Saccharomyces cerevisiae S288C: one gene and its partners. The protein of the gene in region 1 interacts with the protein of each later gene in a biochemical or structural test. Each region holds a gene or a part of one and is shown in the gene's direction. Other genes may lie near its edges.

Evidence for each region.
Region 2: the proteins of DDI1 (region 1) and UFO1 form a complex in vitro, tested with the Saccharomyces cerevisiae proteins (one study listed by BioGRID).
Region 3: the proteins of DDI1 (region 1) and SSO1 form a complex in vitro, tested with the Saccharomyces cerevisiae proteins (one study listed by BioGRID).

The regions. Positions count from the first base shown.
Region 1 is NC_001137.3:447,046-457,918, forward strand, and holds DDI1 (Ddi1p), read left to right. Parts: upstream 1-9,273; coding exon 9,274-10,560; downstream 10,561-10,873. Other genes in the region: YER137C-A (gag protein), read right to left, coding at 657-1,979; YER138W-A (uncharacterized protein), read left to right, coding at 2,429-2,533; RNA polymerase II subunit B1 CTD phosphatase RTR1, read right to left, coding at 3,518-4,198; EMP65 (Emp65p), read left to right, coding at 4,520-6,190; COX15 (Cox15p), read left to right, coding at 6,414-7,874; MAG1 (DNA-3-methyladenine glycosylase II), read right to left, coding at 8,101-8,991; putative ubiquitin-specific protease UBP5, read right to left, coding at 10,761-10,873. UniProt on the Saccharomyces cerevisiae protein: Aspartic protease. Appears to act as negative regulator of constitutive exocytosis. May act at the level of secretory vesicle docking and fusion as a competitive inhibitor of SNARE assembly.
Region 2 is NC_001145.3:90,362-101,234, forward strand, and holds UFO1 (SCF ubiquitin ligase complex subunit UFO1), read left to right. Parts: upstream 1-1,873; coding exon 1,874-3,880; downstream 3,881-10,873. Other genes in the region: RPM2 (ribonuclease P), read right to left, coding at 1-370; AIM33 (cytochrome-b5 reductase), read right to left, coding at 4,070-5,008; ALO1 (D-arabinono-1,4-lactone oxidase), read right to left, coding at 5,430-7,010; alpha-tubulin TUB1, read right to left, coding at 7,580-8,898, 9,015-9,039; YML083C (uncharacterized protein), read right to left, coding at 9,433-10,689. UniProt on the Saccharomyces cerevisiae protein: Substrate recognition component of a SCF (SKP1-CUL1-F-box protein) E3 ubiquitin-protein ligase complex which mediates the ubiquitination and subsequent proteasomal degradation of target proteins. Probably recognizes and binds to phosphorylated target proteins.
Region 3 is NC_001148.4:105,557-115,848, forward strand, and holds SSO1 (syntaxin), read left to right. Parts: upstream 1-1,718; coding exon 1,719-2,591; downstream 2,592-10,292. Other genes in the region: MIND complex subunit NSL1, read left to right, coding at 616-1,266; trifunctional fatty acid synthase subunit FAS2, read left to right, coding at 3,096-8,759; USV1 (Usv1p), read left to right, coding at 9,756-10,292. UniProt on the Saccharomyces cerevisiae protein: Required for vesicle fusion with the plasma membrane.

The DNA.
Region 1 (10,873 bases):
TTTGGTATTTTAGTCGTGAACCTTTGATATGTCTGTGTTTGGTGCTTTTGCCGATTAAACAATCAGGACATTGATAGTCAATAGCACTAGACCAGTCGACATCTGATTCGTTAAAATACGTGATGGTGTTATTTTTAAGTGAGTATCGAATTGTCTGTGCATTGGCATGTGCAAGCATTCGATGAATGAAAGGATAAGGATATTTGCGTGTACTTTCACTTGTATGGACATTATTGATGGTGGGTACGGAGATATTTGATGGAAGCAAGTACTTTTTAGATACCCAGTAAAAGTCTCCATATTTTACGATAGGTGCAAGTACAGTGCCGTCAGATCGTTCTAAGACGTTTTTGGTAAAGCATGCTGTGATATCTACTGCAGCCAATTCATTCAAACTGAGTAAGTCATAGGCTATGTTAGGAGTGTGCAATACCTTTATTGATGTTTTGGTGTTGTCCTGGAAGTGAAATTGTAGGTCACCAATAGCGTTAATTGGTATATTTCTTTTTTGAGCATCAACTACGTTTATGTCAGGATTAGATGATGCTGAGTGTATGTGATGAGCAGATCTTATAAGGGTTCGTGATGCTCCTGAATCGAGAAGGAGGTGTCCAGGGAGTTCATCATCAGAATGATTAGTGTGATTTACCGTAGATTCAGTAAGTTCCTGGCCTAAGGTGAAGGTCGTGCTTATTGTTCAATTGAATCGGTTCAGTAGTTGATTTACTGATGGAATCGTTGTCCGTGCTGGGAGAGTTATTAGATGTGGATACATTGTGAGCCCTGGCTGTTTTCGATTTCGAATTATTTGTTTTTTGAGGATTCCGAGCTATAACTTTGGGTTTGGTTGTATTCGTATAGCTGCGAGAATCATTCTTCTCATCACTCAGATTTCTCCTGTAATTAGGTTTGCTGTTTCTCGATCCCTGTTGTTCTTCATAAATAGCATGGATATCTAAGAACAGTTCAGCGACTGTCATATTTAGATGTCGATGACGTGTGTAGCGTAAAAATTTATATTCGCCAGATAGACCTCTCATAATTAATTGGCATGCGACCTTGTTATTGATATGAATGCCATTATTGTTCAGTCTGTCGATAATGTTTGTGACTTTTGTTTCAAATGCATCTGCAGGTGTACTGCCATTATATTGCAAATTTGCCAGGGTCACAATGTCGTTTGCCTCTTGGGTATCAGATTGCATTTTTTCAATACTTTTGGAAAGAATTTTCATGATATCCGTATAATCAACGGATAGGATGTCTTTGACCCAGGTAGGTAGGAATTGAGAGGGAGCAAATATTTGAAAAGTGTTATACAAGAAGGTGAGTTCATCATCAGTGATCTGACGTACGGGTTTTCCGTTTACTGTCGGAATAATACCACCGAGATTCGAGTTTTGTAAAAATTTGATGTATGTTTTAACCCAATTTGGAAAGTCATTAGGTGAGGTTAACATTGGTGGTGGTCTGACATATTTTTTAGTGGATGTCATATCAGAGTCCGCTGAGGATGAATCAGTAAATGTATTACCTGACTCAGGTGATGGAGTGCTCAGAGGCGTTCCAACTGATGATGGATACTGCGGAAACTGTGATTGTGGCCCAGGTGGAAAGTACATAGGCGACATTTGATAAGGTGTATACGGAATCATAGATGGGTGTCCGTAAAATGACCAACCAGATGGATTGGCTTGGTTTTGGGTCATCATGCACTGCTGTGGGTACGGCCCATTCTGTGGAGGTGGTACTGAAGCAGGTTGAGGAGAGGCATGATGGGGGTTCTCTGGAACAGCTGATGAAGCAGGTGTTGTTGTCTGTTGAGAGTTAGCCTTAGTGGAAGCCTTCTCACATTCTTCTGTTTTGGAAGCTGAAACGTCTAACGGATCTTGATTTGTGTGGACTTCCTTAGAAGTAACCGAAGCACAGGCGCTACCATGAGAAATGGGTGAATGTTGAGATAATTGTTGGGATTCCATTGTTGATAAAGGCTATAATATTAGGTATACAGAATATACTAGAAGTTCTCCTCGAGGATATAGGAATCCTCAAAATGGAATCTATATTTCTACATACTAATATTACGATTATTCCTCATTCCGTTTTATATGTTTATATTCATTGATCCTATTACATTATCAATCCTTGCGTTTCAGCTTCCACTAATTTAGATGACTATTTCTCATCATTTGCGTCATCTTCTAACACCGTATATGATAATATACTAGTAATGTAAATACTAGTTAGTAGATGATAGTTGATTTCTATTCCAACACATCTACTAACTAGTATTTACGTTACTAGTATATTATCATATACGGTGTTAGAAGATGACGCAAATGATGAGAAATAGTCATCTAAATTAGTGGAAGCTGAAACGCAAGGATTGATAATGTAATAGGATCAATGAATATTAACATATAAAACGATGATAATAATATTTATAGAATTGTGTAGAATTGCAGATTCCCTTTTATGGATTCCTAAATCCTCGAGGAGAACTTCTAGTATATCTACATACCTAATATTATAACCTTAATCACAATGGAATCCCAACAATTACATCAAAATCCACATTCTCTACAAATGAAGAAACTGCTTATAGTCAATTGAACGATTTACCGGTATTTTAACGCCATTATATATATTAGTAAAAAGATGGCGTATATTGATGGACTAACAGGGTCAAATAAAATCATGAATTGACTAGTATATACTTATAAGTATATCGTTCTACACAAACTAGGAAGATGACATACATGATGAGAATTGGTTATCAAATTCCATGGATGCCGAAACGTAAAAGATTTACTAAATAGTAGGATAATTATTGATAACATACAAAACAAAAAAAAAAGAGACAATATTATTATCTAGAAGTGTCGACTTCCTTCTGTGGGTTTCCTATGTTCTCGAAGAGAGCTTCAAGTGTATTCTATAAACTAAGAATATTAGTTTAACGAAAGATCGAAGTCAGACACCTATCTAACTTTCATTAAATTATCACACAAAAATCCCACATACTCTCGTCTTGCTAAACAAATAATAAATTGAAGGTGAACGATTCTTCTTGCAGCGTCCTAGCTGTTGGGTCGTCTTAGATAAATATCTACTGTTCTGAATTGCCAAATTTTCCTTCTATTGTATCCATTCGATGCTGGACGGCCAGTTCTACCGTTATTGCCCAAAAGGAAGGAACGTCGCGATACTTCAACACATTAAATACTTGTTGATTTTCGAACCAAAACTCTGAAGCAACACTTTCGTATATGGATGGCCCTTCAGAGAAACCAATAGGTATGTAAAGAATTGCTACGTGGTGACTCAAAGTGAATTATAGCAAAGTTATAAAAGCGCTACATTGTAGAAAATTGAGAACCACATTTTGACATACACGAATAACAGTATTTTTGTCCTGGCGCTGTAAAGTATTTTAAGTTATGATGATGAATTAACTATTTTCAGCCAATGAAACGTCCATAATCTGTTCTGAATTTAGGTGCATTGATATAGCCGGTCAATCTTCCCTTGTGAAATCACCCAAAATGCTGGGATTATCATTCTCAACAATTTTGATTTGTGCCAACCACTTCGATAAATCATCTTCCAGCTCAGTATCATCTTTTTCTGTAGTCCCACTGTCAGGATTTAATCCTAACTTTTTGAGACCGGATATCAATGATTTAATGTCTTCTTCGGATGCCTTTTCTCTTAGCAACTCTTCAAACAAAGTCACTTTGAAATCTATATCGTGTTTGTCCTGTTCAGGATCTTCAAATAGGTGAACCCCTGTTCTTGCAAATAAAGCTTCATCAGATAGTTGCACTTGATAAAATTGGGAACATCTAAAATGGAACTTACTGCAATAGTGCGACAAATATGCATACGGATTGTTTTCTAATAAAAATTTCTTAGTAGTATCATTCATTGAAAATGGATCACGTATTCTTTCTGGCGATTTACCGCAAAGAGGATATCCGCATCTTTTGTTTAGATTCCTCTCATCTACTAGGTCTTGATACATATCCGGTGTGAGAAATCGGCCCAAATATTTCAATGTTTTCTCATCCTTGCATTCTGAATCACATAATAAGCCTATAATCTCTAAAGTTATAACTTCTGCTTCATGCATGGAAAGTTGCCTGTGCTTTTGGAAAGGGATTAACGCCGTTTCCTTAATATCTTCAATCGTCGCCATTTCTTATTCTTGTTAACTTCGTCCTAATTTTTCAAACTAAGATGCCGATGTATAGATATTTTAGACTGGGAATGTTTATGAATTGTTCAATTCGCTCCTCAATGTGTCTCTTTCTTCACTTTTCCATTGCTTTTGACCACTTCTGGATGCCAGCTGATTTTGTATTGTAGTATTCCTATTTCGGACAAAAATATCGGAAAGAGATGAAATAAGAAAATTAGTTACTTTTAATATCACGATGCTGTCTCTGAATCGACCTGATCGATCTATAAGGTGTATATATTATTCTACCGAGTAATCCAAAAAAAAAGCAGCACTCCCATGCAACACAAGGATACGGCAGTAGCGAAGGACACAGCTAAAAAACGTTTACTGAGAAGAAATAGTGCGCCGTCAGCTATACATATAATTTCACGATTAGACAAAAAGTGGTCCTTCCTATGGAATACTATAGATAGACACAATATTGTTGAAGAGCAAGATGAAAGTAGCGCTGCAAAAAGCGAAGAAGAACATGAGGATGATTATGAATTGGAACAATTACTCAACATGATAAGAATACCAATGTTCCTGGAAAAGTTCATGCTCTTTGCACTTTTAACAAGCTTGGACTGTTTTTTGTATTACTTTACTGTATTACCGATACGACTGATAAAGGGATATGTAAAGCAATTCAAGAGTTATCGTCAGCATTATCGCCTGCAACAACGGTCTGGGCATAAGAATAAAATACCCTTTCGATATAGAATAACTTCAAGAGAATATAAAGAGAGATGTATGATTTTTATCATCGTGATTTCATCCATTTTGTTGAGCAAACTAGACACCTCAAAACTATATCACAGGATAAAACGGCAAAGTACGATGAAATTGTACATGCTATTCAGTGTACTGGAAATGGCGGACAAAATGTTGGCAAGTTTGGGCCAGAGCTTATTAACGGTTATGCTTTCTAGGAAAAACTCGGAACGGATATTACTGCATAAATGTTTGTTAGTGTCAATGAGCTTGACATATGTGACTATACACGGCTATGTATTGGTTTACCAGGCCATTTCATTAAACATAGCCGTGAATTCGTATTCCAATGCCTTGCTAACTTTATTACTATCCATGCAATTTGCAGAAATCAAATCATCGGTTTTAAAGAAATTTGATAAGGAGGGATTTTTCCAAATAACCATTGCAGACGTAGTGGAAAGATTTAAGTTGACCTTATTATTGTCAATAACTGGCCTTAGGAACCTCCAGTCGTGGTCATCTTCATTATCGAACACAAGCATCAATTTCTGGAGTCCACGTTCCACATTATCAATCGTCATTAACATACTTTGTGGGCCGATGGTAAGCGTGGTAGGGAGTGAAGTGTTAGTGGATTGGGCAAAGCATGCTTACATCACAAAATTCAATCGGATCCGCCCACAGATATATGATAAGTTCTATTATATAATATACAAGGATTATTCTACGAGAACGCACAAATTAGAAGATAGATTGGGATTGCCTTTACCTGCATTCGTTGTCCTTTTTATTGTAATGGTGAGGCCAACACTTTTTAAATCATCGGAACCTTCTTACCTTCCTTCGCTATTTAGGATCCTCTTCATGGGGGCATCCGTGTTTTTACTAGCATTGTTGGCAAAATTTACACTAGATCTTATTTTAATCAAATGGAGCAAACGGATAGAGCAACGGTTCAGAGACCAAGCTTTCAATACCGTTGTAACTGAAGAAGAATACGTCCCAGGTTTACTCTCGGGCGGTATGGGTAAAGTCGACGTGTCTACAAGAATTGCATTACATTCTGATTACAATAAAGAGAATCGTATAGAGACCGAAAGTGTATCGCCAATGCGGAAAAGAAAAACTACTTTAACTGCTGAATGTACTCCTCCTAGCCTAAATGATATTAGAAGACAGAAAGATTCCAAGAATCCACGATCGCTTGAAAATGTCGCTCGCTATAAAATGGTTTCTAAAAGAATATGGTAATCTAAGATCCGCATTTATCGCGGCTTACGGCTTTCGGATATTTCGTATATTGCAAGGAGCAAAAAAGAAACCCTGCTTACTAAAAAGCTATTGTTTTGCAGTTTATAAGTTCTTGCCTTTTGAATTATTGATCTTTCCTTTATCGTTTATTTAGTTTCCTATTGTAACTTGGAACTGTATTATATAATAGTGCACAGCACTGAAGTTGTAACTACTGTACGTCATGCTTTTCAGAAACATAGAAGTGGGCAGGCAGGCAGCTAAGCTATTAACGAGAACCTCGAGTCGTTTGGCCTGGCAAAGTATTGGGGCCTCAAGGAATATTTCTACCATCAGACAACAAATCAGAAAGACTCAACTATATAATTTTAAGAAAACTGTGAGCATCCGTCCATTTTCTCTCTCCTCCCCTGTTTTTAAACCACATGTTGCTTCAGAATCAAACCCTATAGAATCACGTTTGAAGACCTCGAAGAATGTTGCTTACTGGTTAATAGGTACATCCGGTTTGGTATTTGGTATTGTTGTTCTTGGTGGGTTGACTAGACTAACAGAATCGGGGCTGAGTATTACCGAATGGAAACCTGTCACAGGTACTTTGCCCCCTATGAACCAGAAGGAATGGGAAGAAGAATTTATCAAGTATAAGGAATCACCAGAATTTAAATTGTTGAATTCTCACATTGATTTAGACGAGTTCAAGTTTATATTTTTTATGGAGTGGATTCATAGATTGTGGGGTCGTGCTATCGGCGCTGTTTTTATATTACCTGCAGTTTATTTCGCTGTATCTAAAAAAACTTCAGGCCATGTCAATAAGAGGTTGTTTGGTCTCGCAGGTTTATTAGGATTACAAGGATTTGTTGGTTGGTGGATGGTGAAGTCTGGTCTTGATCAAGAGCAACTAGACGCAAGAAAATCAAAGCCTACCGTTTCTCAATATAGACTTACTACGCATTTGGGTACCGCCTTCTTTTTATACATGGGTATGCTCTGGACTGGTTTGGAAATATTGAGAGAATGTAAATGGATTAAGAACCCTGTTCAAGCCATTAGTCTCTTCAAAAAATTAGATAATCCCGCAATTGGCCCAATGAGAAAGATTTCTTTAGCTTTGTTAGCGGTGTCTTTCCTTACCGCTATGAGTGGCGGTATGGTTGCCGGTTTGGATGCTGGTTGGGTCTATAACACCTGGCCAAAAATGGGTGAACGATGGTTCCCTAGTTCTCGTGAATTAATGGACGAAAACTTCTGTAGAAGAGAGGACAAGAAAGATCTGTGGTGGAGGAATTTGCTAGAAAACCCGGTTACAGTTCAGTTGGTCCATAGGACATGTGCGTACGTTGCGTTTACATCAGTACTAGCTGCTCATATGTACGCTATCAAAAAGAAGGCCGTAATTCCAAGGAACGCGATGACCTCTTTGCATGTTATGATGGGCGTCGTTACTTTACAAGCAACACTTGGTATTTTAACTATATTGTACCTAGTCCCAATATCGTTAGCTTCTATCCATCAAGCTGGTGCTTTGGCGTTGCTAACAAGTTCTTTGGTGTTTGCCTCTCAATTAAGGAAGCCAAGAGCTCCGATGAGAAACGTAATCATTACCTTGCCACATTCAAGCAAAGTAACTAGCGGTAAAATTTTAAGTGAAGCGTCGAAGTTAGCCTCGAAACCATTATAATGGATAAAGGTATTCTTATGAGAATTGACAGTATACTCGCTTTTCCGCTTTGTCGCTCCAATGGTTGGATTGTATGTGTGAGGCTTTTTCTTATTATATGTTGGTATCCCTACGAGAAGCTGTAAATATGAATTTCTTTAGTAGGCATCACACACAACAATAGGGTGTATTTATTTTTATTTTTTTTTTTCTTATATAAATGTCAGTAATACATGATATCTTTAAGTTAGGATTTCACGAAATTTTCTTCTGCCTTCATCATGGCATCTGTATTTGTGCTCGCGAGCCTCCAAAGTATGAACATAAACACAGACCTATACGGAGAAAATGTTTCAGAGCATTTTTCCATTATGTCGTCGTCATATATTTTCCAGTTGTATTTCTTATGCTTAATCTTACTCTTTTTAACTACTTTTCTTTCACGCATTAATTCTTTTTCCAATTCTGGCTTATCTGAAAGGTATTTTGAAAAACCCCTAGCAATACCTAGATCTTCAGGAGCAAATACATCCATTCTTTTCAATCCGGAGATCAAGAACATTTTGGCACTCCATGGGCCTATACCTTTTACATTCGTAACTAAACTTTCAATCACTTCCTCATCATTATCTTTTTGACCGAAGAGCTTTTCGATATCCTTATATTTTTCAGTAAAATAGACAGCAAGAGACTCTAGATATATCATTTTCCTTTTACTCAATCCACATTTTGCGATTTCTGCACATTTTGCTGGGTCTTTGAAGTCTTCGAAAAGGATTTTGTAATCAGGAAATGCACCGCCATAAAGACTGACAACCCTTGCCTTGATGCTTTCAGCTGCTTGGCCACTGATCTGTTGAGACAAAATTGTGCTTGCAAGCCTAATAAAATAATCTTCGAGTGTATTAGGGACTTGAGTCTCCTTCAAGTACAACGTAAATTCATTATTCTTAAGTATGGGAAAAAGTGATGGATCTTTCTCTAAAATGTGTTCGCAAGCCATATTGAACTTTTCTTCATGTCTAGCAATATATTTCTCAGGAAGAGCAACCTCTAGAGGTCGAGACCCTAATTCTTTTGCTATTTCCTTAACAGCGTCTGCTTTTATTAACTCATCATACTCCCTTTTTAGTTTCATTGAGACCAATCCCTCTCTAGCTTCTCTTGATTCTCAGTAAAAAATTAAAAAGGAAAAGTACCACTTCCATCGTCATATCAGAGGGCAGTGGCCAATTCTCATTGATTCATAGATAACTTAAACTTTATGTAAGAATTCCCGTCGCCACCCCGCCCTGTAAATTCATCGCCACCGAAAAGATAATAATACCAAAATGATATATAAAGTAGGTCGAATAAGAAAGTATACTTAACGTAGTTAACAAAGTACATACCAAACATAACAGCAAAAATATACGTAAAGATGGATTTAACAATTTCAAACGAACTTACTGGCGAGATATACGGCCCAATTGAAGTCAGTGAAGATATGGCTTTAACTGATCTAATAGCATTACTGCAGGCCGATTGCGGGTTTGACAAAACAAAACACGACTTATATTACAATATGGACATTCTAGACTCAAACAGAACTCAGTCTTTAAAAGAACTAGGGCTCAAAACCGATGACTTATTATTGATTAGGGGTAAGATTTCCAATTCCATTCAAACAGATGCTGCTACTTTGTCCGACGAAGCGTTCATAGAGCAATTTAGACAAGAGCTACTTAATAATCAAATGCTTAGATCACAACTCATTTTGCAAATCCCTGGATTGAATGATTTAGTAAATGACCCACTGTTGTTTAGGGAAAGATTGGGCCCGCTCATATTACAAAGACGTTATGGTGGCTATAACACCGCCATGAATCCTTTTGGCATCCCCCAAGATGAATATACTAGACTAATGGCCAACCCCGATGATCCTGACAACAAGAAGAGGATTGCAGAGCTTTTAGACCAACAAGCTATCGATGAACAGTTGCGCAATGCTATCGAATATACACCTGAAATGTTTACCCAGGTCCCTATGCTTTACATTAATATCGAAATAAATAACTACCCCGTAAAGGCATTTGTAGATACAGGGGCTCAAACAACGATTATGTCCACCAGGTTAGCGAAGAAAACTGGCCTGTCGAGAATGATTGACAAGAGATTTATTGGAGAAGCTCGTGGCGTAGGAACCGGCAAAATTATTGGGAGAATTCACCAAGCCCAAGTCAAAATAGAAACACAATATATTCCATGCAGTTTTACCGTCTTAGATACTGACATCGATGTTTTGATAGGACTAGACATGCTGAAAAGGCATTTGGCTTGTGTGGACTTAAAGGAAAACGTTCTTAGGATAGCAGAAGTGGAGACAAGCTTTTTGAGTGAAGCGGAAATCCCAAAAAGTTTTCAAGAAGGACTTCCAGCACCAACGTCAGTTACAACTTCGTCTGATAAGCCCCTAACACCCACCAAGACTAGTTCAACTCTACCACCACAACCGGGGGCTGTTCCTGCGCTTGCTCCAAGGACTGGTATGGGGCCAACACCTACGGGAAGAAGTACAGCCGGTGCTACAACGGCAACCGGGAGAACGTTTCCCGAACAAACGATTAAACAGCTTATGGATCTAGGTTTCCCTAGGGATGCTGTGGTAAAGGCTCTTAAACAGACTAACGGAAATGCAGAATTTGCTGCATCCCTCCTTTTCCAATGAGCAACCACTGATATTGTGATCGGCCTCTACGTATGTAGCCCATAACACAAATAGATAAGTATAAGGATGTACATACTTTCATTGTTTCGTCAATTGTTGTTTGTATTGTATATGATTGTACTTCTGTTAAGTATATAATATGCAGATTGTATTTGTGCCTCAATGTGCGCCATTCATGTGTTGCAAACCGGTAATTTGATTCAAAAAATTCTTTCGTAAAATAAAACATATGCACTGGGTGTGATAAATTCAGTACTAAACGTTATAGGACGATAAAGCGAGTCATCGAAAAAATACCAACCTTTTTTTGGTC
Region 2 (10,873 bases), on another chromosome or scaffold:
TAGAATAATACCTATGTTGATTGTTGTTGTTGTTATTAACATAGTTTGTACTTTGCTGCTGCTTCAGCGATCGAAGGGAAACGTTTTGGTTATAAAGTAGTTCTTCGTGGGTGAGGGGGTTGTTAGTGTTGTTTATGCTAGAATCCAGGTCGTGCGGATGCAAAATATCATCTACGTTGTTATAGTTTACATTCGCTACTACGACCGGATGAGGATGTAGATGAGATGCATGAAGTACGGGATCCGAATTTACCAAACCTTGGTTTTGCCTTAGATACTGGTAGGAGCTATCGAAAAAAGATGTTGCAGTTTTCTTTTGAGCGGCGGAACGATGATAACCTTTAGAGTATATGAATGATTTGAAAGCCATTTTCGTTTGTGTATGCTTGTTTTTTCTTTTCTGTTTGTTGTAGTCTCTATAAATTTAAATGCACTTATCTTTTTATGCAAAAAAAGCTGGGCGAGTTATTTGTTTCTATATTTGTATAATTTTTTTTTTTGTGAAGATGAATATAAACTGACAAAAAATTGTGTCAGAGTTGAAGCTATAGCTCCTTTTATGATGTGTCTTGGTTCTTTGGGTGCGATATTAGGGAAACAACGCACAGCAAATTTTCTTCTGCTTTCTTATAACGTTATAAACAATCCTGTTGTCTTGGTTTATTATGTGGAAAACTTTTCACGGATCAATTTTATAAAGCATACAACTAAAGAGAAAAGTGTAATATGGACGAACGAGAGACAACTTAATCCATGGATTTGTAATTGACGTGTGTATGATTCGAGGGAAACTGACAGTTTTTGCTTTGTCATGGGGGAATTGTAAGGCACACCGAGTCTCGGCCCCGAGTGCCTGGCCAATGAGAACGCGCGCATTCGGAGCTGCCCCACTTTTTGTGCGCTCTTGCATTTCATTGGTTAGCCGGAGGAATTCGGCGGTTAAAAGCGGACTCGAGCGGAAATAAAGTCTTTGCTTATTGTATGCCAGGAAAAGCTCTACAAATCTACTAAAAGAGTCAAATATACAGCTTTGCCAAGCGTGCGGCATAGGGAATAACAACAAATTGGAAATGTGCGGCTAGCGTAATCTTGGTATCTACTACCGACTCTGAAGAGTTTAGCGGGCTCTCAGACGGTTTTTTCGCTTTTGGCATTTTATTCAGGTAGCCTTAGATGTTAAATTTTCCATGGCATCTTGCGTAAAGCCTGCTAGGTTCCTTGCCACGTATAATTGCGCCGCGAATTCTGTGATAAATATATTGTAAGATTTTCTGTTGTCTTGGAATTGCTCTCTCTTTAAATAATACTTTATATGTTTACCCCAATTCTTTGCCGCCGAAAGGTCAGCGTTGCATTACGTGGTGTCCGGTCGCTATTTCCTGGGTTTTCTGCGGCAGATTCGCACTGCGCGCCACAGCTGCAACAACTGCAGTGTTATTTCGGGTGCCAATTTAGCGTGCTTCGATCTAACTATTCTGTAAATTCTGTAGTGACTCTTTAGGGCGAAGTACGTATTTCATGATTTAAAATCCCCGTCTTCAAATATACCGAAAAAAGAAACAAGACATTTTTTAGCAGTTTATGTACGCATTTTAAAAGCCGGGAAATGCTTCTTGTTACCCCTTTTGGCGCTTTGGATAAGTAGTTCACTTAGCTATTTTTTTTTCCGGTTCGAACTCGGGGTGAGGCTTTATCATGCACTTTTTTTTGGCTATTATTAATTTTCGCAGCCTTAATTTTTCCCTTTCCATTTTCTCGCATGTGGCGGTTTTCAGTATTACTTAGAGATGCCTTAAATAAATCTAACAGGCAGGTATACCAGGTACGAGTTAAAAACCTTTATCAGGTGGCCGACACTAGGGAATAAGACAGCATGGAGCGGCCTGGCTTGGTATTGCAGGACCTTCCACCCGAAATCCTGATAAACATCTTTTCTCACTTAGACGAAAAGGACTTGTTCACGTTGCAAGAACTTTCTACGCATTTCCGGAACTTAATTCACGATGAAGAACTTTGGAAGAACCTGTTTAAGTCTAGAGTTCACACGACTCATTTCCCCACATTTTCTCAGTCTTCGAAATTTAGTGTAGAGTATATTGAAAGGACACGGGGTCTTCATCATTGGCAGCATAACAAGGCTATAAGAACCAAATACACAATAATTCCGACGAGAAACTGGGATCAGCCCAGTATAGAACGCATAGTGTTTGATTATCCACGAGTTGCAGCTTATAATGATGGTACCATTACAATTTTACAGTTACAAAATCACAAAAGGCAGAAGAAATTTAAGAAATTGATTTATATTCCATGTACAACACCACAAGGTTGTTCTACCATGGACTTCAATATTAATGCTGCAGTGTTTGGTAGGTTTGACGGCAGAGTGTTTGGAAAACTGCTAAGTAACAAATCGTACTTAACGCCCGTGATGGAATTTACGGGAAGGCATAGTGCAGGCGTTACTGCCATTTGTAATTCAGAATCCTGGGACACGTCAAGAGAGGACTGGTCTGTTAGTGGCTCTGAAAACGGTGAAATTATATGGTGGTGCGAAAATAAGCTTGTTAAGATGTGGAAGGTTTCTAATAGGGTAATTTGGAAACTGGCTTTTTTTAAAGATTGGACCTTAATTATGGATGATGAAAAGCTGTACATTATCCATCAAATGCAGGAATTGCACAGTATTGATATTCCTAAGGATCTGGACGAACAGCCTATGAGGGTACGGTTTTTCAAGATGGATTTCGGTTCCATGACTTTGGTACTTGCTGACCTGAATAACGTTTATACAATATCGGTCAATCCCAATGGTAACTTCGGCAATTTGAGAAAGTTGGAGATGCCTGAACAAATATGCGCAGTTGAAATAGATGAAAAAACTTCTCAAAGGGAACAAAACTGGCAATTTGCTGGTGATGACGGCTGCTATATCAGTCTTTTGACGACACAGAACACTTTATACATTATCAATATAAGAGATCTTTCTTCGTCAGGCTTAAAAGTTCAATGTAAGATAAGTTTTGATGAGCAGGTATACGTATCGCAGGTGACAAATTTAATAGTTGTGGTAGCATTGCCAAATGTTCTTCAAATATTGAACGCGATGACAGGCGAGTTAATAAAGACAGTGTTGAAAACCGAGAAGTTTCCCGAATTTTTGAAGGTATCGCAGGATAAAATCATTATGGGAAGCGGTAACGTTTTGAATTATTTAAAGTTTGTTTCAAGTGATTCAAAGAAACATCACCATTCCACTAAAGGTAAAAACACAGTAAGCAATAAGTGGAATGAAACTTTGAACACGGAGCTGCAATATTATGATGAAGATGAAGACCTTAGAAGAAAAAGACAGTCAGAAATATCAAGATTGATCGATGCGTATGGTGGAGACCTTGAACTTTCAGGCGACACCGATGAAGAAAACGACATTCAGTTGAGAATTGCACTCTTAGAATCACAGGAGGCGCAAGCACGGAATCAAGCTGAAGCGGGGGAGCCTGTCGGAGATGATGAAGATGAGCAGTTAAGAAGGGCGCTGGAGGAATCTCAACTGATATATGAGACGCAAACGAATAGCTCTGCGAATCATGGTAATAATACGAATGATGAGATAGATGAAGATGATGAAGAGTTTCTCAGAGCCATCAGACAATCAAGAGTGGAGGACGAAAGGAGAAGACATCTTAGAAATCATACTACAGGTCGACGAAATGGGCCCTTGAGCGACGATAATTTTGCTACATATGGTGCAGCAGAGTCATCCGAACGAACCTCAACTGAGAACACTATCGGTAGTTCTGTTGGCGTTGATGCTAGTAATAATGTTGATGAAGACTTACAATTGGCCATTGCGTTGTCATTGAGTGAAATCAATTGAAAGTATGTACATTTGGAAGAGCATATGTTAAATATTTTATTTATAGATTTTTCGTTGTGAAATATTATTTTTTTTTTTTTGAAAAAAATGTCGGACTTTATTCCTCCTAATTATTAATAAAATACGAATATATATCTAAATATAATTAATGCTTATTTACATGAAAAATCATCAATCGTAAACAGTTGATTAAAAAACAAAAACTTTATCGGTTCCATTACCTTTGTGAAACCCATTACTCCACCCCAACTCCTTTGCATAATTCAAAACCATTTCATTCATTTTAGGTGGTCCGCAAATCAATAAACGATGGTCCTCCGCTTGTTTAGGTAGGTATCTTTTCATTTCCTCTAGAGTTACGTACCCAACATCACCGTTCCATTTACCGTTTGGCTTATGAATTACATAATGAACTTTAAAATGCGGGTACTCCTTAGCCATGTGGTCTAGTTGCGATTTCATGAGAATGTCATCCTCTGTTTCGTTTGCGTATATCAAAGAAATGTGTGTTAGGTCTTCTGGAGAGGGTATGATTTCTTGCAGCACTTGCAATACAGGGGTTATACCAGACCCCCCTGCGATTATACCCAACTCTGTTGCGGTGTCCTGATCATATTCCAGCTCACCTAACGGCCCTTTAAATTCAACATACTGGCGAATTTTTAATTTATCAAAATACTTAGAAACGACACCATGTTTATACGTCTTGACTACTAATTCCAAGTGACCCTCCGTATTAGGAACATTTACTGGCGTATAGTACCTCACTAATCGCTCACCATTTATTGTAACCCTTACTGCCAGGTGGTATCCCATGGGAATATGCAATCTTTCAAATGGGTACTTTAACTTGAAGCAGTACAGACTAGTATTACGAGAAATGCGGGTCTTCTTGGATAGCGGTAGCGCGACCCATTTATTTCTGTAAAGAGATTTATCAGTTCCAATCGAAATAAACGCTGTGGCATAAAGTACTACGAATTGCAGCAATGAAACGACCACGATTCTACCATTTTGCGTTTTCCAAAAGTAAAGAGGTGTAACCACACAATTCAGAAGCAATCCAGTACAAAATGGATAAAACGGATTTGTCGAAACAAAAGATATGCATGTCTCTACTATCGACATTGTTGCGAATGGTTGCTTTTTACAAAGAAAAAATGTGATATGAGTTAATACTAAACATACTTAAATCCTAGAGAGAAAAAAAGTACTGCAATATATACAGCACTCAAAATACATTTCTATCTGATTTCTAAAAACTTCCCTGTAGATGGATCTACGTTACGCCATGCCGATGTTTCGTTTTTGCTTATACGACCAATCATTACCGCGTTCGGCTTTTCCAAAAAAAAAAAACTATAGTAAGGATAATGAAAAGAAAAAAGGGTCCCATGATTACTAAAAAGCTCTAATTCAAAAAAAAAGTCTTTGATAGGCAGCTAGGAATAGTTATTAGAATGTACATGAACAGTCATCACACTGCTATATATATATATATATATATTCTTTTTTAGTAAAATATAGAGATTATTGAGACAAAAAGAGACTAGTCGGACAACTCACTAGGATCTATAATACCATTTATGATAGCCCACTGTTTGTTTGCCAAGAATACATTATCGGGATCTTGCTCCTTTCTTATTTTCCGGAACTTTTTCAAATCCTCGCCATACCATTCTTCAACCTTCAATGCCATCCCCCTCATTTCAAAGTCATCGTAATCAGTATCCTTTTTCACTGGTCCAGCAGCTAGAGTGGTTGAGCCTAGGAAGTTCTTGGCCCAATGTGGCTTACCTCCCGCTACCATCATAGTATTTTCAAAAAGGGTAAACCATTTATGAATTGGAGTATTACAGCCAAACGGCCTATAAATGGTAGCATTTATGTACAACGTCAACTGACTGTTGGTAACATTTTCCAACGGAGCAAATCTGCAATGGGATGGTGTGTTATCCAGGAATGGGCGGCACACATTGCCATAAACGGGACCGGGACTGGTGTTTGTTCTCTTGCTAGTATCCAAGGGTTCAGAAGGTAATGTAGTATTTGAGCAACGGACTTCCATAGGCACGTGGACATAAAATTCTTTGTTTATGGCAGCCTGCGCAATAGAATGATCCAATGAACGTAAGACTTCCAAACCATTATCCATAGGGCACCCCCATTCATCAACAAATTGTGAAAACAAACAGTCCATATTAAATCCGCTGATAGAATCGGTAACATTAACATCACCAGTAGAGCTCTTCTCCAATTTCCCGTATTGCCTGTTGAAAACGAACTTTTCCACAAATGGGGTTAATGGCGCATAGATTTTGGTAGAGATCCATAATAGAGTTTCGTAGAAAAATCTACCCAGCTTGGTACCCCACCATGACTTGGCTGGACCATTTTGGGCATCTGTAGTTTTGTTACCCCTCCATAGAACACATTTTCTAGTATAAGGGTACCACCAAACTCTGATAAATTCAGATGAAGTCCATAGGGTATCCCATTGCTTCAAAAGGTTTTCAAAAGTAATCACTTCTTGAGTGGATTTAATATTGAAGCCGGGAACAACCCTGATAGTAGCAGAGACAATGATACCAATTTTTCCAACTGAAAGTAAAGCAGCTTTAAAGACTTCTGGATCGTTTTCAGCATCCAAGAACTTCAATTCGCCCTTACCATTAACAATAGTCAAGTTTACGTATTGAGAAGAAATCAAACCGTGATAAGGTGAGGAACCATGACTACCAGTAGAGATTATGCCAGCAACACTTTGTTCTGAGATAGAGCCTAAATTTTGGATAGAGTAACCTTTCGCACCCAAAAATTCATTCAATTGGTAAAGCCTCATACCGGCATCAACTGTGACATCGGCATAATGTAACTCAGGATATTCAACAAACTTTTGTACTTTGTCCAATCTGTCTAAGTTAACAAGCCATTCATCAGTAACGCACATGTTACTAGGAGAATGGCCCGAACCAACAGTAACTAAGCTTTTTTCAGCTAGCCTGGCACTCTTTACTAACTCGACAACCTCATCAATTGAACTTGGTTGGAAGTAACGTTCTGGTTTTGCAGAATAAATTCCGGCCCAGTTTTTGAACACATAGTTCTTTCTAAATGGGATAGTAGACATGGGGTGAAAAACCTGATAATATCGGTAACTTTAATTTTACGGGTTCTTGTTTTACCTTCTAATGAATTTTAAGTTTTGAAAAGCAGAAAATCAGATATTGAAACTATAGATCTGCTTACCTTGAAGTTCACTATTTTTGGAATTCTCCTTGCTAATAGTTACTTCTACTCTTGCTTTGTCCTGGATATCAATGGAAGATGTCCTCATTTCCATTTTTTTTTTCAATTCGACGGCAAGGCGGGAGAAAAGGAACTAGGGATACAAAAATGCAATTACTAATGAAATCCGTGAAATAATCATGGAAATGGGTGATGTAAGAATCTGATGAAACAAGTACAAATGTCTTTGGCCCATCAACTACGATGAGACTTACTAAGCTTTCATCAAATGCAGGTTAGAGAAGGAGAATGGTTTTTTTTTTTATTTTTTGTACATAGATATTAGAGAAATATAATAAGTAGATTATAGATAAGATATCACCAAAGAGATATAACAGTAGGGGGAATTTTTTTTTTTACAATATACTTGAAATATAGAAAGGATAAGGAGGTTGGGGGCGAGAGTGAACCTTAAAATTCCTCTTCCTCAGCGTATGAGTCGGCACCCACTTCGATGTAATCTCTTTCTAAAGCAGCCAAATCTTCTCTAGCTTCGGTGAATTCACCTTCTTCCATACCTTCACCGACATACCAGTGGACGAAAGCACGTTTGGCATACATTAAATCGAATTTTCTATCGATTCTCTTCCAAGCCTCAGCAATGGATGTGGTATTTGACAACATACAGACGGCCCTATCCACAGTGGCCAATTGTGAGTTTGGTGTGGCAGTTGGAGGTTCGTAGCAAATACCGATCTTGAAACCAGTTGGACACCAATCAACCAATTGGACGGTCTTCTTGTTTTTCACCTGCTCGACAGCTCTTTGAACATCTCTTGTTACCACATCACCCCTGTATAACAGACAAGTAGCCATGTATTTACCATCTCTTGGATCACACTTGACCATCTGGTTACCAGGTTCAAAACAAGCGTTTGTAATTTCTGACACAGAGTTGGACTCATGGAATGCCTTTGATTTGGATAAGACTGGAGAATATGAAACTAAGGGGAAATGAATTCTTGGATATGGAACCAAATTGGTTTGAAATTCGTTCAAATCTACATTTAATGAACCGTCGAATCTCAATGATGCTGTAACAGATGATACCACTTGAGCAATTAGGTTGTTTAAGTTTGCAAAGCTTGGTCTTGGGATATCCAAGTTTCTTTTGCACATGTCGTAAATAGCCTCATTATCGACCATGAAAGTACAATCTGCATGTTCCAATGTAGTATGTGTAGTTAAAACTGTGTTGTAAGGCTCAACCACAGAAGTAGACACTTGTGGAGCAGGGTATACGGCAAATTCCAGCTTGGATTTCTTACCGTATTCAGCGGATAGTTCTTCCAACAGTAAGGACCCTAGACCGGAACCAGTACCACCACCAAGAGAATGGGTAAACAAGAACCCTTGTAACCCATCACATTGGTCTGCCAGTTTTCTAATCCTATCCAGAACATCGCCCAAAATTTCTCTACCAACGGTGTAATGGCCTCTTGCATAATTATTAGCCGCGTCCTCCTTACCACTGATCAACTGTTCTGGATGGAACAAGTCCTTGTAAGGACCGTTACGGACTTCGTCAATAACGTTGGGCTCTAAATCCACGTAAATAGCCCTTGGAACGAACTTACCGTAGCCGGTTTCATGGAAAAACGTGGAGAAACCCTCTTCTCCTCCCTTCGGCTTTGAAAGGCCATCTTCTAGATGTCCATCCGGCTTAATACCGTGCTCAAGGGAATATAATTCCCAACAGGCATTACCAATCTGACAACCAGCTTGACCGACTGTAAAGAGAAATCAAAAAAAAAAAAATTTTGCGTTGAAGTTAGTAATGAAAGATGAAACGCCAAAATGAACTAACAAAAAAAAGATCTAGCCTGGACGGGCAAATCGAACATACCATTAATACTAATAACTTCTCTCATTGTTTGTTTGCAGTTGTAAGTTTACAGATCTTGGGTGGCGAGAACTGTTGTAGACGGATATACTGAATTGGGTAAAACGATATAGTAGATGTTTTTGTTTTGTTTTGTTTTGTTTTGTAGTTTAGTTTTTCCCTTGGCTCGAGGCGTTTTCGCGTGGCATAACCCGGCCGGAAACTACGGTGATATTATCGTCTGGCACATATATATATATATATATGTAAACTATACTTATATTAATAGTTTCCGATCGTCTTATTACTCACTTACTATCAATGGAAGCACTATTTCATTACTTAAAAAATACTTTCTATTGCAGGATCTGAAACAGTCAGTTATAATGGAAAAAGTATGCAATTGTGTTTTCTTAAAGAAGGATACAGATATTTATATATGTTAGTTCCTCTGGAATATATCGCTAGATGCATTAAACATGAAGAAATTTGCCGTATGAATTATTCCTGTATGTACACCAAATGTGTCATGATCTTCTTGTTTCTTCAATGTGGCGCTGGCATTCGAGAGTGATGATGCTTGGTGTGAGCACTTGAAATGTCTCCTCTTTAAGAAAGACAATCCTATCCTTTCATGATCAAGGGCTTCTAAGGCGTCTCTCAATGCCAATTTCAAATCGGTAGGGTCTGACACGGTCTGGTAGCATTTATTAATGCAGTGGGTAAGGAAGAGGGAGGGCTTGATAATGTGGTTGGCTGAAATCGGATGGCAGTGCCCGCCATTGATAGACTCAAATTTTACTGTCTTCGTACAGTGGTTGAAGGTCAGTATGAGTTTTGACTCGCAGATCAAATGTATTTTGTACTTTTCAGGAGTCCTTGTTCTTTGTATACGCTTATTGCTGAGTTGCTCGTGAACATTCATCTCACAAACGAGTTCGTACTTGTTCTTATTGATTTTCTTTGTCCTGTAGATGAAACTAATGAATGAATATACTCTAACGAACTGCTCAAACGACAGGGTACATAGGAACTCGAAGGAGGATTTTGGATGCTTGAAAATAAAGTCCCTGAAGTTTAGAATGTTGTTGATATTTTCGATCTCGTCCTTGTTTACTGGATGGTGATATTCCTGTGCGCATGCAATTAGTTGTTTACCAGACCTAACTTTGCTCAATTGTGCCTTTGTTTTTGCACAACCAATGTAGTTTGGAATCTTCCTAATTAATTCCTCGGTACTATCTCGCTCAACATCACGGCCGCCGCCATTCCCGATCACAATTTTGGGCAGGATAGGATGTGAAACTCTGTCCTCTACTGTGCTGGGCACAGGCGACGGTGGTAGTTTCAAATCTGGCAGCTTTATGGCGACCGGGGCCAAAGGGGGTGAGGGAGCCGTTGCTTCAAACTGAGGTCTTGGGGAGGTCATAGGTGTGATAATAGGCATCATTGCGGCATGATTTCGTACAGCGACAGGGATAGTGACAACCTGTTGTGACCAATGGACGGGCGTATTTGTGCTCATAGAAGGCAATATGGGTGTTGGCAAGCACCTGGGGCTGGAGTACCCAAATGTCAGCGAATGTTGTTGATCTAACGCCAATATGATTGGGGGCAGAACGGGCGATAGGCACTGCCTGCCTGGAGGTGTTCTGGGAACGTGCGCCTGGTTGTTGTTATATACATGTAAATAGTCCATTGAGTCTTTACCAGGTTCTATCTTAACTAAAGAACTACTTCTACACAAGACTTAAGGCACCTTCATACGAAAACCCTCTCCACGATGGCGTTCAATCTTTCGTCTTTATATACATATGTTACTTTATATATTTATATATTTACGTATACACCCGAATGTATTTATATATTTGTATGCATATGCC
Region 3 (10,292 bases), on another chromosome or scaffold:
CTAACTAATCACTCTTTCACTAAAGAATATTTCTTAGCAAAAATATGCGTACCTGCGTACCGGGTAAAAAGTCGCATTGTCCAAGTGCTGCTGCTTTTACGCAAAAGAACACATCTAACCGAAGAGGAATAAGCAGACCTGAACAATACCAAATAAAGAAGTTACTTCTTCTTTATCACCATTTTGACAGGTTTCTACATTTTTTTTTCCGTAGAGGGAAAACATATAAAAGCAGTCCAGTAATTGCTTGCTTTTTGAAATGGCTCTTTAAGCCTGAAAGCACAAGACGATTAGTGATATAGATAATATATACACAGATACACATGTACGTACATAAGTACTGATTTAGGCTGCAACCTTTTACCTGGCTCAACTGACACGAATATTTTGTTATCAGCCAAAATAAACGTTCATGATATATAGTGAGAAAAAAAGATCGATGGGACGACTCGCGGCCATTCCTTGTGCGTGCAGGAATCAAGAAAATAAACAAACCGGTACAGTACAATAAGCAGGCTGAGTAGGCGGAAAAAGTTTTATTCAGACGTGTACCGGAGCCTAAATCCTTTCTTACCCATAGCAACCACACTAAATATATTATTGTAACACGAGAAGATGTCACAAGGTCAGTCCAAAAAACTGGACGTAACTGTTGAGCAGCTTCGAAGTATATACCACCAGTTTCATGATATCTTGGAAGAAAAAACTGATTTGCATCTACCGAAGAAAGAATACGACGATGACGCTGTTAGGAGAGAGGTTCAGATACAGTTACAAGAATTTCTTTTGAGCGCTATGACGATGGCTTCGAAGTCACTAGAAGTTGTCAACGCCGACACGGTAGGAAAGACGGTAAAGCAATTGATCATGGAATCACAAGAGAAGTACATGGAGCCCTTTGACCTTGACCTGAATGAGCAAGTTAGAAAGATGTACCAAGAGTGGGAAGACGAAACCGTTAAGGTGGCCCAGTTGAGGCAAACGGGGCCTGCAAAAATCAACGAAGTTTACAACAACTCAAAGGATGAGTATTTGGCACAATTGGATGGGAGAATCGGCGTTCTTCAAGCTAGAATGATGCAGCAACAATCTGCTGACCATGATGATAGTACCGACGATGCCGATGATCACATCAACTGGGAGCACATCAAGCAGGATTACGTTGCCTCACTCAATGAATTGTATCAAACACAGCAAGACCTACCCAAGGTAAGATATAACGTTGAAAAGGTCAAGCGCTTAATGGACTTCCTGGAGGAGGATTGAATAAATAACATATAAGACAGTCAACCTCGTGGTAAATGATAACTATATTCTGGGGCTTTATTCATTTTTTTACACTTTTTTATCTTTGTACGAAGAGCTGAAAATAAAAAAGTATAGAGCCAGCCTTTTCCCACACACTAACGACAAAAGACGATATGCAGGCTGTGCGCATGGGGGAGAATCCAGTTTTTGCCCGTTAAAGAGAAAAAATTAGTGTCTGTGAAACGCGAATACAAAAAAAGAAAAGTAGCAGGATCTTACTTCTCGTAAAGACGTCAAGAACCAAATCAAGTCAAATCGTGGAAGTTACAAGGGGAAAGACCAATAACTTTTAGTAAAGAACAAAGAAAGGTCTATCTCACGCAGTGACGGTCTTTGCGGTAAATCTGTGTATACTTGAAAGAAAACCCTTTTACAATTAAAAAAGGCAATTAAAAATAGAAACAAATCAAATGAGTTATAATAATCCGTACCAGTTGGAAACCCCTTTTGAAGAGTCATACGAGTTGGACGAAGGTTCGAGCGCTATCGGTGCTGAAGGCCACGATTTCGTGGGCTTCATGAATAAGATCAGTCAAATCAATCGCGATCTCGATAAGTACGACCATACCATCAACCAGGTCGATTCTTTGCATAAGAGGCTACTGACCGAAGTTAATGAGGAGCAAGCAAGTCACTTAAGGCACTCCCTGGACAACTTCGTCGCACAAGCCACGGACTTGCAGTTCAAACTGAAAAATGAGATTAAAAGTGCCCAAAGGGATGGGATACATGACACCAACAAGCAAGCTCAGGCGGAAAACTCCAGACAAAGATTTTTGAAGCTTATCCAGGACTACAGAATTGTGGATTCCAACTACAAGGAGGAGAATAAAGAGCAAGCCAAGAGGCAGTATATGATCATTCAACCAGAGGCCACCGAAGATGAAGTTGAAGCAGCCATAAGCGATGTAGGGGGCCAGCAGATCTTCTCACAAGCATTGTTGAATGCTAACAGACGTGGGGAAGCCAAGACTGCTCTTGCGGAAGTCCAGGCAAGGCACCAAGAGTTATTGAAACTAGAAAAATCCATGGCAGAACTTACTCAATTGTTTAATGACATGGAAGAACTGGTAATAGAACAACAAGAAAACGTAGACGTCATCGACAAGAACGTTGAAGACGCTCAACTCGACGTAGAACAGGGTGTCGGTCATACCGATAAAGCCGTCAAGAGTGCCAGAAAAGCAAGAAAGAACAAGATTAGATGTTGGTTGATTGTATTCGCCATCATTGTAGTCGTTGTTGTTGTCGTTGTTGTCCCAGCCGTTGTCAAAACGCGTTAATTCCAACTATTTTCTATATTTCTATTCTATCCGAACTCCCCTTTTGTATATCAATATATCTTAATACTTTCGCCTATTCTTTACTATATTTCCTAAATTTTCTCTGGTCTGCAGGCCAAAAACAACAACTTACTACTGAATCATGGACGTGTATTTAGTTTAGCCAAGCAATATTTAAATATCACTCTTCCTAAAAATACATTGGGCATTACCCGCAAACTAACCCATCGCTTAGCAAAATCCAACCATTTTTTTTTTATCTCCCGCGTTTTCACATGCTACCTCATTCGCCTCGTAACGTTACGACCGAAATCTCACTAAGGCACGGTTTGTTGGGCAGTTTACAGATGTTGGATAACCAGTTGTTTCTAAACGGTTATGCCTCATATATAACTTGTTAACTGAAGGTTACACAAGACCACATCACCACTGTCGTGCTTTTCTAATAACCGCTATATTAGACGTTTAAAGGGCTACAGCAACACCAATTGAAATACCATCATTATGAAGCCGGAAGTTGAGCAAGAATTAGCTCATATTTTGCTAACTGAATTGTTAGCTTATCAATTTGCCTCTCCTGTGAGATGGATTGAAACTCAAGATGTTTTTTTGAAGGATTTTAACACTGAAAGGGTTGTTGAAATCGGTCCTTCTCCAACTTTGGCTGGGATGGCTCAAAGAACCTTGAAGAATAAATACGAATCTTACGATGCTGCTCTGTCTTTACATAGAGAAATCTTATGCTATTCGAAGGATGCCAAAGAGATTTATTATACCCCAGATCCATCCGAACTAGCTGCAAAGGAAGAGCCCGCTAAGGAAGAAGCTCCTGCTCCAACTCCAGCTGCTAGTGCTCCTGCTCCTGCAGCAGCAGCCCCAGCTCCCGTCGCGGCAGCAGCCCCAGCTGCAGCAGCTGCTGAGATTGCCGATGAACCTGTCAAGGCTTCCCTATTGTTGCACGTTTTGGTTGCTCACAAGTTGAAGAAGTCGTTAGATTCCATTCCAATGTCCAAGACAATCAAAGACTTGGTCGGTGGTAAATCTACAGTCCAAAATGAAATTTTGGGTGATTTAGGTAAAGAATTTGGTACTACTCCTGAAAAACCAGAAGAAACTCCATTAGAAGAATTGGCAGAAACTTTCCAAGATACCTTCTCTGGAGCATTGGGTAAGCAATCTTCCTCGTTATTATCAAGATTAATCTCATCTAAGATGCCTGGTGGGTTTACTATTACTGTCGCTAGAAAATACTTACAAACTCGCTGGGGACTACCATCTGGTAGACAAGATGGTGTCCTTTTGGTAGCTTTATCTAACGAGCCTGCTGCTCGTCTAGGTTCTGAAGCTGATGCCAAGGCTTTCTTGGACTCCATGGCTCAAAAATACGCTTCCATTGTTGGTGTTGACTTATCATCAGCTGCTAGCGCTAGTGGTGCTGCCGGTGCAGGTGCTGCTGCCGGTGCAGCTATGATCGATGCTGGCGCTCTGGAAGAAATAACCAAAGACCACAAGGTTTTGGCGCGTCAACAACTGCAAGTATTGGCTCGTTATCTAAAAATGGACTTGGATAACGGTGAAAGAAAGTTCTTGAAAGAAAAGGACACTGTTGCTGAACTTCAAGCTCAGTTGGATTACTTGAATGCCGAATTAGGTGAATTCTTTGTTAACGGTGTTGCTACTTCTTTCTCTAGAAAAAAGGCCAGAACCTTCGATTCTTCCTGGAACTGGGCTAAACAATCTTTATTATCATTATACTTTGAGATAATTCATGGTGTCTTGAAAAACGTTGATAGAGAGGTTGTTAGTGAAGCTATCAATATCATGAACAGATCTAACGATGCTTTGATTAAATTCATGGAATACCATATCTCTAACACTGATGAAACAAAAGGTGAAAACTATCAATTGGTTAAAACTCTTGGTGAGCAGTTGATTGAAAACTGTAAACAAGTTTTGGATGTTGATCCAGTTTACAAAGATGTTGCTAAGCCTACCGGTCCAAAAACTGCTATTGACAAGAACGGTAACATTACATACTCAGAAGAGCCAAGAGAAAAGGTTAGGAAATTATCTCAATACGTACAAGAAATGGCCCTTGGTGGTCCAATCACCAAAGAATCTCAACCTACTATTGAAGAGGATTTGACTCGTGTTTACAAGGCAATCAGTGCTCAAGCTGATAAACAAGATATTTCCAGCTCCACCAGGGTTGAATTTGAAAAACTATATAGTGATTTGATGAAGTTCTTGGAAAGCTCCAAAGAAATCGATCCTTCTCAAACAACCCAATTGGCCGGTATGGATGTTGAGGATGCTTTGGACAAAGATTCCACCAAAGAAGTTGCTTCTTTGCCAAACAAATCTACCATTTCTAAGACGGTATCTTCAACTATTCCAAGAGAAACTATTCCGTTCTTACATTTGAGAAAGAAGACTCCTGCCGGAGATTGGAAATATGACCGCCAATTGTCTTCTCTTTTCTTAGATGGTTTAGAAAAGGCTGCCTTCAACGGTGTCACCTTCAAGGACAAATACGTCTTGATCACTGGTGCTGGTAAGGGTTCTATTGGTGCTGAAGTCTTGCAAGGTTTGTTACAAGGTGGTGCTAAGGTTGTTGTTACCACCTCTCGTTTCTCTAAGCAAGTTACAGACTACTACCAATCCATTTACGCCAAATATGGTGCTAAGGGTTCTACTTTGATTGTTGTTCCATTCAACCAAGGTTCTAAGCAAGACGTTGAAGCTTTGATTGAATTTATCTACGACACTGAAAAGAATGGTGGTTTAGGTTGGGATCTAGATGCTATTATTCCATTCGCGGCCATTCCAGAACAAGGTATTGAATTAGAACATATTGATTCTAAGTCTGAATTTGCTCATAGAATCATGTTGACCAATATCTTAAGAATGATGGGTTGTGTCAAGAAGCAAAAATCTGCAAGAGGTATTGAAACAAGACCAGCTCAAGTCATTCTACCAATGTCTCCAAACCATGGTACTTTCGGTGGTGATGGTATGTATTCAGAATCCAAGTTGTCTTTGGAAACTTTGTTCAACAGATGGCACTCTGAATCCTGGGCCAATCAATTAACCGTTTGCGGTGCTATTATTGGTTGGACTAGAGGTACTGGTTTAATGAGCGCTAATAACATCATTGCTGAAGGCATTGAAAAGATGGGTGTTCGTACTTTCTCTCAAAAGGAAATGGCTTTCAACTTATTGGGTCTATTGACTCCAGAAGTCGTAGAATTGTGCCAAAAATCACCTGTTATGGCTGACTTGAATGGTGGTTTGCAATTTGTTCCTGAATTGAAGGAATTCACTGCTAAATTGCGTAAAGAGTTGGTTGAAACTTCTGAAGTTAGAAAGGCAGTTTCCATCGAAACTGCTTTGGAGCATAAGGTTGTCAATGGCAATAGCGCTGATGCTGCATATGCTCAAGTCGAAATTCAACCAAGAGCTAACATTCAACTGGACTTCCCAGAATTGAAACCATACAAACAGGTTAAACAAATTGCTCCCGCTGAGCTTGAAGGTTTGTTGGATTTGGAAAGAGTTATTGTAGTTACCGGTTTTGCTGAAGTCGGCCCATGGGGTTCGGCCAGAACAAGATGGGAAATGGAAGCTTTTGGTGAATTTTCGTTGGAAGGTTGCGTTGAAATGGCCTGGATTATGGGCTTCATTTCATACCATAACGGTAATTTGAAGGGTCGTCCATACACTGGTTGGGTTGATTCCAAAACAAAAGAACCAGTTGATGACAAGGACGTTAAGGCCAAGTATGAAACATCAATCCTAGAACACAGTGGTATCAGATTGATCGAACCAGAGTTATTCAATGGTTACAACCCAGAAAAGAAGGAAATGATTCAAGAAGTCATTGTCGAAGAAGACTTGGAACCATTTGAGGCTTCGAAGGAAACTGCCGAACAATTTAAACACCAACATGGTGACAAAGTGGATATCTTCGAAATCCCAGAAACAGGAGAGTACTCTGTTAAGTTACTAAAGGGTGCCACTTTATACATTCCAAAGGCTTTGAGATTTGACCGTTTGGTTGCAGGTCAAATTCCAACTGGTTGGAATGCTAAGACTTATGGTATCTCTGATGATATCATTTCTCAGGTTGACCCAATCACATTATTCGTTTTGGTCTCTGTTGTGGAAGCATTTATTGCATCTGGTATCACCGACCCATACGAAATGTACAAATACGTACATGTTTCTGAGGTTGGTAACTGTTCTGGTTCTGGTATGGGTGGTGTTTCTGCCTTACGTGGTATGTTTAAGGACCGTTTCAAGGATGAGCCTGTCCAAAATGATATTTTACAAGAATCATTTATCAACACCATGTCCGCTTGGGTTAATATGTTGTTGATTTCCTCATCTGGTCCAATCAAGACACCTGTTGGTGCCTGTGCCACATCCGTGGAATCTGTTGACATTGGTGTAGAAACCATCTTGTCTGGTAAGGCTAGAATCTGTATTGTCGGTGGTTACGATGATTTCCAAGAAGAAGGCTCCTTTGAGTTCGGTAACATGAAGGCCACTTCCAACACTTTGGAAGAATTTGAACATGGTCGTACCCCAGCGGAAATGTCCAGACCTGCCACCACTACCCGTAACGGTTTTATGGAAGCTCAAGGTGCTGGTATTCAAATCATCATGCAAGCTGATTTAGCTTTGAAGATGGGTGTGCCAATTTACGGTATTGTTGCCATGGCTGCTACCGCCACCGATAAGATTGGTAGATCTGTGCCAGCTCCAGGTAAGGGTATTTTAACCACTGCTCGTGAACACCACTCCAGTGTTAAGTATGCTTCACCAAACTTGAACATGAAGTACAGAAAGCGCCAATTGGTTACTCGTGAAGCTCAGATTAAAGATTGGGTAGAAAACGAATTGGAAGCTTTGAAGTTGGAGGCCGAAGAAATTCCAAGCGAAGACCAAAACGAGTTCTTACTTGAACGTACCAGAGAAATCCACAACGAAGCTGAAAGTCAATTGAGAGCTGCACAACAACAATGGGGTAACGACTTCTACAAGAGGGACCCACGTATTGCTCCATTGAGAGGAGCACTGGCTACTTACGGTTTAACTATTGATGACTTGGGTGTCGCTTCATTCCACGGTACATCCACAAAGGCTAATGACAAGAACGAATCTGCCACAATTAATGAAATGATGAAGCATTTGGGTAGATCTGAAGGTAATCCCGTCATTGGTGTTTTCCAAAAGTTCTTGACTGGTCATCCAAAGGGTGCTGCTGGTGCATGGATGATGAATGGTGCTTTGCAAATTCTAAACAGTGGTATTATTCCAGGTAACCGTAACGCTGATAACGTGGATAAGATCTTGGAGCAATTTGAATACGTCTTGTACCCATCCAAGACTTTAAAGACCGACGGTGTCAGAGCCGTGTCCATCACTTCTTTCGGTTTTGGTCAAAAGGGTGGTCAAGCTATTGTGGTTCATCCAGACTACTTATACGGTGCTATCACTGAAGACAGATACAACGAGTATGTCGCCAAGGTTAGTGCCAGAGAGAAAAGTGCCTACAAATTCTTCCATAATGGTATGATCTACAACAAGTTGTTCGTAAGTAAAGAGCATGCTCCATACACTGATGAATTGGAAGAGGATGTTTACTTGGACCCATTAGCCCGTGTATCTAAGGATAAGAAATCAGGCTCCTTGACTTTCAACTCTAAAAACATCCAAAGCAAGGACAGTTACATCAATGCTAACACCATTGAAACTGCCAAGATGATTGAAAACATGACCAAGGAGAAAGTCTCTAACGGTGGCGTCGGTGTAGATGTTGAATTAATCACTAGCATCAACGTTGAAAATGATACTTTTATCGAGCGCAATTTCACCCCGCAAGAAATAGAGTACTGCAGCGCGCAGCCTAGTGTGCAAAGCTCTTTCGCTGGGACATGGTCCGCCAAAGAGGCTGTTTTCAAGTCCTTAGGCGTCAAGTCCTTAGGCGGTGGTGCTGCATTGAAAGACATCGAAATCGTACGCGTTAACAAAAACGCTCCAGCCGTTGAACTGCACGGTAACGCCAAAAAGGCTGCCGAAGAAGCTGGTGTTACCGATGTGAAGGTATCTATTTCTCACGATGACCTCCAAGCTGTCGCGGTCGCCGTTTCTACTAAGAAATAGAGAGAGCACTACGTAGTCCCTCTTTTAATATGTAACGTGTCGCTTCTATTTATCAGACATAATAGTAATTACTTTGTTATTTTTCTATCGTTTCCTTACTTTAGCCTCTGATTTCGATCTGGCCTAATCATTGTGTACGTCTATAATCATATGGCCCTGAGCGTACACACCGTTCAATTCTTCTATTTGGTCGGCCCACACAAATTCGCGCGGGGGCATATTGACGCGTGGAAGAATAGAAGTCCGCGTAGCAGCTCTGGGGTAATTAGGCTTTTACGATATCGGCTGGCCCAGCACCGGTTTTTATTCCTCCCGTGGTTGTTGTCTCTACCGTGAGGAGGGGAAAGGGTCAGGGACGGCCGGTAGTTATGTTGTCTCAACGATTACTGCCATCTATTGTTTACACCAATCGCGTGGGGCAAGGGGCTGGAAGGCTGTGGTGTACAGAATAGGGTCTAATACCCGATGCGCGACGCTCCTGCGACTGGTTGTGTGAGCCACCCCTTGATCGCCTCTGCCAAATACTCAGGGAAGAGAAAAATCGCGAAGGTGGACGAGTGCCCTTAAAGAACCAGCATCCTCGATCGCCGCTGCCGTTCGCCCTGGCTTAGCGGTGGGAAGCATCCTTTGGCTTTCGAATTCTCCGCCGTTGAGTCCCCCTAAGGGCCTTATTTATCCCCTCTATTTTTTTTTAGAAAATGTTTTCTTTTTCAAGATTTGTTTGCTCCTTCACGGCTTCCCCCTTAACCGTTCAACAGTCTTCCGTATATAACAATCTCAATCCACTCTTATTGCCTATAATTTTGATTAATTCTTATTCATCCCGGCAGATAAAGTTTCGTCTTGTTTTGAAAGAGACAGGAGTTCTTGGCTGCAGTATTTTGCAACAGCTTCATTAACCATGTATGTAAAGAAAAAATCTGGAGCGACTTACTGGCTTAGCTTTTTTTACTAACACATAAATAATACTGTGATAAGATAAGAAAAAAACACGAAATGGAAAATACCACGAATCGTAATACTGCAGGCGTTCTTACGAGCAGCAATGGTAACTTTGCCACCAATAGTGTAGCGGCATCAACTCCGAAGAGGTCCAAAAGTGCTCGAAGGAAAACGTTCAAATGCACCGGATATGACGGTTGTACGATGTCCTTCACTAGAGCGGAACATCTTGCACGTCATATAAGAAAGCACACTGGTGAAAAGCCGTTCCAGTGTCCTGCATGTTTGAAATTCTTCAGTAGAGTTGATAATTTGAAACAGCATCGGGAATCGGTCCATGCACATAAAAACCACCATTCTACCAGCTCGCACCAGCGTAAGCCTTCCTCTTCATCTTTATCCTCCTCTTCTTCTGCATCTTCTTCGTCTTCTGCTTCATCATCTACATCATATAGTGATCCTTACAGGAAAACTAATATTAATAGCGGGAACATGCCGATGATGGCAGAAAACGAAAAAGCGCCCCAAATAATACATTCTTCGCCGGAGTTCATTACTAGCACGAGAAGCATCCCACCCATCTCTCCAAGG